Linked DNA regions of Mus musculus. The protein of the gene in region 1 purifies or fractionates together with the protein of each later gene. This does not show direct contact. Links are inferred from orthologs where the notes say so. Each region holds a gene or a part of one and is shown on either strand. Other genes may lie near its edges.

Region 1 (3,823 bases):
GTTTGGGAAGGAATAGGAGCTGTGGCCCTGGAGGAGCTGTGTCACTGGGGTTTGAGGTTTCAGCAGCCCAGGCCATTCCCAGTGTCAGTCCCCCTATGACCCTAACTCTGCCACACGCTTGTGGATCAAGATGTGAGCTCTTGCTACTACTGCCTGCCTGCCATGCCTGCCTGCTGCCATGCTTCCCACCAGAACTGCCTGAAACTATAAGCCCACAATAAACTCTTTCTTCTATAAGTGACAGAAAAGAAACTAAGACACTAGTCGCTGTTGTTCCCTTTTCTCTACGAGCCATGTGGACTAGGGTGACTTTTATTTTGCATTTCCCATGTTTCTACTGTTTCCTGGCTGCATTTTTCAACATGTACTTTATCAAAGCCAAATGCATATCCACTGTCAATATAGCTGACATCAAATCACTAACATTTTGTTACTTATTAATAACACTAATGCTTTTAAATAGATTAAAGAGGTTTAATAAAACAAAATCTTACACGTAGGTTAAAACACGAATCACATTCTTTTTTTTTTTGTTTGTTTTTTTTCGAGACAGGGTTTCTCTGTATAGTCCTGGCTGTCCTGGAACTCACTTTGTAGACCAGGCTGGCCTCGAACTCAGAAATCTGCCTGCCTCTGCCTCCCGAGTGCTGGGATTAAAGGCGTGCGCCACCACACCCGGCACGAATCACAACTTATTTTATTTAGCAACTTATTTTTAAAAATATAACTTAGCTAACTAAAAAGGAACAGGAAATTTACATACAACAGAATTAAAGTAGGGTTTGAACTAGGGTATACAGCCACCAAGATGCAAAGTCAGTCCTATCTCTTATCTGTACCTGTAATCTCCAGGAGAAGGGCCATTTCTACAGGGCTCCATGCTGCCCAGTTACACCTAGCATAACAAGGTGCTCACAATTCATCTGCACAATACAACAGTACCACTCAAAGCATGGTCAGATCAGGCTAGAGAGTGCACACACTGAAACTCAGACACTTACCCCAACATCACGCTTATAAATTACATTTGCTCCCTCCAAAGCAATCTTCCTTAAGTTCAAATGGCATCTTGTTCTAAAAACACAGACTACATTTGTAATTAAAATGTCCAATGCAACATCACTGTCTGCATCCATTGGGGTAGTTTAGAAACTTGGTTCCCACCACGAAGATCACATCCTGGGAGAGAAAACAAAATAGTCACTGAAATTTTATGTTCTGCCATTTTCCACAAATAATCTTAAATGTCACAGTAGGTGCAAAAAAATTATCTTTAAATAACTTTCAATCCTTAAAAACCAGTAACTTTTACATGCAAGAATCACCCCCATGTTTCATGTGTGCTCTAGTTACAGTGAGAAGCCACGCATATCACACTCAAGGACTGGACTTTGTGGCTCTGAGTCCTTGTAGGCACAATACAAAACCCTAGCATTTAACAAAAGGATTCAATTCTGTGCTGTGAATCCCTGCACTTAGGAGGCTGAGGCAGAAGGACTGCCCCAGGTTTAGGGCTAGCCTTGGGCTAATAAGGTGTGGCCCTATTTTAGAATATTAAGAAATAAAAATTTCTAAAACCTGTATACAACCATATAGTATTCAGTTCTATATATTAACCAAACCATAACCTGACTGTATGTTTTCTTGTATCTTTGGCCTTTAATCTGCATATCTTTCATTTTCTGTTCCATGTGTACATTTGAGCTCCTTTAATCCTTCACTTAGGGTTAATGTAGCCATATTTCTAAGGAGAATTTTAATGGTTATAATTATAGAATCCCTTTTTTGTACCATCCTATTTGACCTGAATACCAAGATTATATCAGTTTTAGAAAACTTAGGGTAGTTCTTATTGTTTTAAAATTCTCTGGAAAACAATATAAAAGAGCTTATTTTCAAAATATTTGAACTTGTTATTTGCTTGAGATTTTTGGAAAACGAATTCAGTATTGTTGGTGTTTTAAGACAACAGACACTGTTTCCATCGCTCTACTGTTTGGTTTTCCTCGGTTGTTCCTGAGCGGTGCCTACCCACCTTGCTCTGCAGCTCACACTGTGCAGAGGTGAGTCCTTCCTTCCTGTGCTGAGTAAGCTGACCCTGTCTTTGCAATTTTTTTGGCCTATGCTGTTTCATCTCTGAGATCTGTTCAATACATCTTCTAAAGTGAAAACTACTTAAGCTTGAATTCCTTTCTCTTTTTTAAAATAAACGCTGAAGGCCATCATAATGTGCTGCTTCAGCGTTTTTCTACCTTGGGGTATGTTTTCACTGCCTGTCAATTCTAGTAACATTTAAAACTCTGTTAGTGTTTCTTGGATGAGTTATTCAAAGTTTATAATTTTATAAACATTCTTTTCTTTTCTTTTTTTAACCTTACTAGTTAGCAGCTGAGGAAATGCTAACTTAAAAGAATGTGATAACATTTATCATGGCAAATAACTGTCCTAGCTCTAATATAAACATAACAGTATTCTCTTATAATTTAATATAGAAATATTCTACAAAAGATACTGTGATAGTGGGTTATCAGAACCTAATATATAATATATATGTAACATGTTTTATATATATATATATATGTGTATATATATATATATATATATATACACACACACACACACATATATAATACACACACACACACACACACACACACACACACATATATAAAAAATGGAATTTCTGCCAGTTGGTAATACTGAGCTAAGCAAAGAATAAATACAGAGAAATTGCTAATAACTAAAAGTAACTAGTTTAAAACAGCATAACACATACTATGAAATATACTTTTATTGTGTGTGTGTGCGCATGTGTGAGCATGCTTTCAAAGGTCAAGAGGCATCAGCTCCCTTGGACCTAGAATTATAGGTGGTTGTAAGCTACCAGGTGGGTGCTTATATCTGAGCTCAGGTCTCTGCAAGAGCAGTAAGTAACACATACTTAATCCCTGAGCCACCTCGTCAGCACCAAGATATACTTTATGAATCGTACACAACACAAAAGCTTAGACAGAGCTTCATGTTGCTAGTGTGTCTAGTGACTCAGATTGGTCAGTGGTTAAGAGTACTGGCTGCTCTTCTCAGTTCCCACATCGGAGGCTTACCAACATCCTTAACTCCAGCTTCAGGGACTCTAGCCTCCCCGGCCTCTGTGCAGCACACACTTAACTAGTATGGAGGCCTGGAGAGAATTTATTTTGGCTGTGTGTGTGTGTGTGTGTGTGTATTTATGAATATATGTGTATATACACACACAGATACATATCATATATACGTATCAAAATGTTAATGTCTCTATTCAGAGCATTAGCATTTCTGGTAGAATATGGATTTCATTTTTGATTTTGAACTAGGCTTTCATGTAGCTTAGGCTGTACCTGAGGATGAGCATCAGCTTGTAATTTAGCAACTGAGCTATACGCCAGCTCTGAATCTGAATTCTTAAATCAACAAATCCATACTCGGCTTACTGTTAAAAAGTAAAGTAACTTCAATGTAGGTATCAACAGCTTGCACACTCTCTGTCTAGGCCTTACATTTAGAATGGCTTAACTGTTTTATCTCATTTTCAAGGAAATGCCAAGTATGACTTTGATTGGTCAAATATCTCCAAATAAACTGTTTAGAATTACAGCTGTCTTGTTTTCCTGAAATGCTACGTTCCTAGCACTCTGTAACATACACACGGAAGCAGAGCGCGCCTTCCCCTTGCATTGACTGTAGACAACACAGCATCTATCTTTAGGTCACAGACTTTCTAGCCTAGTGCTTGGTATTCACTGCAAAGCCACTGCTTCAGCAACTGCAACCTTGGATCTCCTGC
Region 2 (3,823 bases), on another chromosome or scaffold:
TTCTAAATTTGAGGAACCAATTAGGGCTTTGTCTTGCTGCATGTTTTTGCTCACTGTTAAGGATTCTGTTATATCTAAAGGAAATATACAAGGGTACTGTTATGTTATTTGGTCATAATTTTGGCATTCTAATTGGCTCAGCAAATTTTCATTGCATGTTGATTTTTTTTTTTTTTTTTTGGTTTTTTTTCGAGACAGGGTTTCTCTGTGTAGCCCTGGCTGTCCTGTAACTCACTCTGTAGACCGGGCTGGCCTCAAACTCAGAAATCCGCTTGCCTCTTCCTCCCGAGTGCTGGGATTAAAGGCGTGCGCCACCACACCTGGTGCATGTTGAAAATTTAAGCCAAGCTTTTGCTTTGGTTTAGGACATAAATGAGATGCTATACCTTTGTATCTTGAAAGGTTTTTTGTTGTTGTTGTTTTTAGATTTTATATCTTTATTTTATATATACGATGAGTACACTAGCTGTCTTCAGACACTCCAGAAGAGGGCATCAAATCTCATTATGGGTAGTCATGAGCCACCATGTGGTTGCTGGGATTTGAACTCAGAACCTCTAGAAGAGCAGTCAGTGCTCTTAACTGCTGAGCCATCTCTGCAGCCCCGGTATCTTGAAAGTTTAAGAACAACTGCTGAAATGTGTGATCCTGTTTACTACACTTCCTTGGCTACTACCATGGGACCAAAGTAATTAAGGCTGTCATAAAGTTTTCTATTTCAGTTTTAAATTTTGTATGTATAGGTATTTTGCCTGCTTGTGCACCACATGTTTGCAGTTACTTGGGGTGCTAGGAGAGGCCATTGGATTCCCTAGAACTGGGGTTAGAAATGCCTGTGAGCTCCCATTTGAGTGATAGGGATGGAACCCTAGTTCCCAGGAAGAGTAGCCAGTGCTTGTAATCACTGAGCTGTTTGGATATACAAGGAAGATGGGAACAGGAATGGTTATAGCTCATGTTAGTTGATACCCCTTAGTAGGATGCTTGTCTTCTAACTTGGTAATTTCTAGATTCTTTGGCTTGAAAGCAGTATACATTTCTTGGTGCATTAATTGTTACTGAAATAGCAACTTGGATATATTCTTTTTTGCCTTAGGCCAGCTGCTTCAGGTGGTCAGAGCAGCCAATGGTGCCCAGTATATCTTGCAGCCTCAGCAGTCAGTTGTTCTACAACAACAAGTTATACCACAAATGCAGCCTGGTGGAGTCCAAGCTCCTGTTATCCAGCAGGTAAGCAGTATAACCTACAGGCCCCGTGGTATCCATTTCCTTGGGCTTCTGCCTCTGCCGCTGCTGGAGTTGTATGACTTTCTTGTGTGCTTCCCCACTCTTTCCCCCAGACAAGTTAATAGGTGTGCAGCAGTCAGAAACAATTGTACTGAGTTAAGATTATATGCCTTCAAGCTTAATGTACATTTCTCCTGTTTAAAACTGAATTATTATTAGTTTGGTTTTGGACGTTTGATCCCTCTAACCGGTTTCTAATTGGTGATTTTGTTTCTGTAGGTCTTAGCCCCACTTCCTGGAGGGATTTCACCACAGACAGGCGTCATCATCCAGCCACAGCAAATCTTATTTACAGGAAATAAGACTCAGGTCATTCCTACAACAGTGGCAGCACCCGCCCCGGCACAAGCGCCGATGCCTGCAGCCGGACAGCAGCAGCCACAGGCCCAGCCTGCCCAACAGCAAGCTCCGTTGGTGCTGCAAGTTGATGGAACAGGGGATACATCTTCTGAGGAAGATGAAGATGAAGAAGAAGACTATGATGATGATGAGGAAGAAGATAAAGAGAAAGATGGAGCTGAAGATGGGCAGGTGGAAGAAGTAAGTTTCTATAAAAGCTTTGAAAAGAAAAGGCACTCATCATTCACTTTTGCTAAGCATGCAAATTATATGCTTTTTTTTTCCCCCAGAGGCAGAGAGAGGTGGATGCTCGCACTTAGTTTTTTCCATATACTGTCAAATCCCCAAGCCTAGGGTGTGGTGCTGTACACTTGGGCGTGTGAGTCTTCCTAAGTCAGTTAATATTTTTATCACAGTCCACTGTAGGCATGCTCAGGACCTAGATAATCCCTCATAGATATGCCCTGAGTGAGGTACATCTCCCAGGAAATACAATATAGGTCCTGATGGTGTTAACAGTAACTATTATACGCTCATTTTAAAGGTATGTGTATCAAGTGGGTACTATATTAATAGGGATAGTGACGATAGTGCAGATCAAAGATATCTGAAATGTGGTTTAAGCATAATGTATTGGTAAAAAGATAGATGTAATTGATTATGTCTTTTAGTGATTAAAAAGGTATGACGGTCTGGGGAGAGAGGAACCTGGAGAAAAACTGAATGTGACAGATGCAGCCACAGCCATGCTTGGCCTTTGTTGTATTCCATAGCAGGTCCTCAATAATCCGATCTTCATACTTTTTTCTTTTTTCTTTTCTTTCTTTTTTTCCGAGACAGGGTTTCTCTGTGTAGCCCTGGCTGTCCTGTAACTCTCTCTGTAGACCAGGCTGGCCTCGAACTCAGAAATCAGCCTGCCTCTGCCTCTACTTGAGTTTTCTTGTCCATGTATAGCAGAAGTACAATATGTTTAAATGTAGTTTCTGTTAAATTTTCTTAAAATGATGTCACTAAGGTTCATCTAGGTCACAGTCTATAGCTCATTTTTACTCTTGATTGTACTATAATTTGATTGCCCTCTTCTGGATCTAGTGAGCATTTGGGTGGCTTGTGTTCTGCGAGCTCCTGAGTTTCTCTTTAGTATTACACACGAACATGGACTTGCCATCTGACCTGACTGAGACTATCCTGCCATGTCTGTAACTTGTAGATGTCAGTATGTTATCAATTCCTGATAGTGGCAGACTGTTGAGTTTTTTCCAGTCTGAAAAGTGGTGTCTTTAGTTGGAACTTCCTTAACTACTCAGGAGCCTCAGTTGCTTTGCATGCATTTGCTTGTTACTATATTTTTACTGTGTCAAATGGCCAGTGTGCATTATTTCTAACCCTTTCCCAAATCTTAGTCTTTTCATAAGTGACATTTACATTACATTGTGTTTCTCCAGCTTGCTTGCGTTATAGACATGTACAGAATTTGTAATAGTCATCGTTGCGCCAGCCTCATGGTTTTGTACTAATGCCTTCGTTGACTTTTTTGTGTTTTAATGTGGAAGATTTTTTTATAATGTTCTATGATTAACTGTATTTGTTGTTGTTGTTGCTGTTGTTGTTGTTTTTGTTGTTGTTTTCCCTTATAGATGTCTTTTGGGGCTAAGTGAGCACCAAGTGTTTTGCTTTTTTTTTTTAAATTATAAGGAAATGTATTTTATTATGAAATGCCTTTCTGCAGCCATTGGTTGCTGTATCCCACTCATAGACGGCTATTTATGAATTTTTTTGAGTGGTCCTAATTTGCAAACCAGTCTTGAGTTCTCTATGTGACACAGCTTGGTCATTATGTATTCTCTCCCTAACTGCTATACTCACATTGACAGAAGTTTATGTCAATATGTATGAACGCTTTTGTAATTTCTTTTCTCATAATCCTCTCACCAGTTCTTATATTGATAGTATCCTTAGGAAAGATTTTTTGTTTGTTTGTTTTTGTTTTCTTTCTTCCTTTCTTTCTTCTTTTTTTTTTTTTTTTTTTTTTCTGGTTTTGCGAGACAGGGTTTCTCTGTGTAGCCCTGGCTGTCCTGGAACTCAGAAATCTGCCTCCCTCTGCCTCCCAAGTGCTGGGATTAAAGGCATACGCCACCATGCCCAGCGAAAGGATTTGTATTTTAAAAAAATTATATAATCTCTTCCTGTGTTTTGT

The links.
Region 2: the proteins of Tbpl1 (region 1) and Gtf2a1 purify together in Homo sapiens (affinity purification with mass spectrometry; 5 studies listed by BioGRID and IntAct, counting the BioPlex papers as one, with this or other methods). This does not show direct contact. The link is inferred for Mus musculus from reciprocal best matches to the Homo sapiens genes TBPL1 and GTF2A1.

What each region holds. Positions count from the first base shown.
Region 1 is NC_000076.6:22,710,913-22,714,735, forward strand, and holds part of Tbpl1 (TATA box-binding protein-like protein 1), read right to left. Parts: intron 1,180-3,823; 5' UTR 1,137-1,179; coding exon 1,002-1,136; intron 1-1,001. UniProt on the Homo sapiens protein: Part of a specialized transcription system that mediates the transcription of most ribosomal proteins through the 5'-TCT-3' motif which is a core promoter element at these genes. Seems to also mediate the transcription of NF1. Does not bind the TATA box.
Region 2 is NC_000078.6:91,565,544-91,569,366, reverse strand, and holds part of Gtf2a1 (transcription initiation factor IIA subunit 1), read left to right. Parts: intron 1-1,096; coding exon 1,097-1,230; intron 1,231-1,506; coding exon 1,507-1,827; intron 1,828-3,823. UniProt on the Homo sapiens protein: TFIIA is a component of the transcription machinery of RNA polymerase II and plays an important role in transcriptional activation. TFIIA in a complex with TBP mediates transcriptional activity.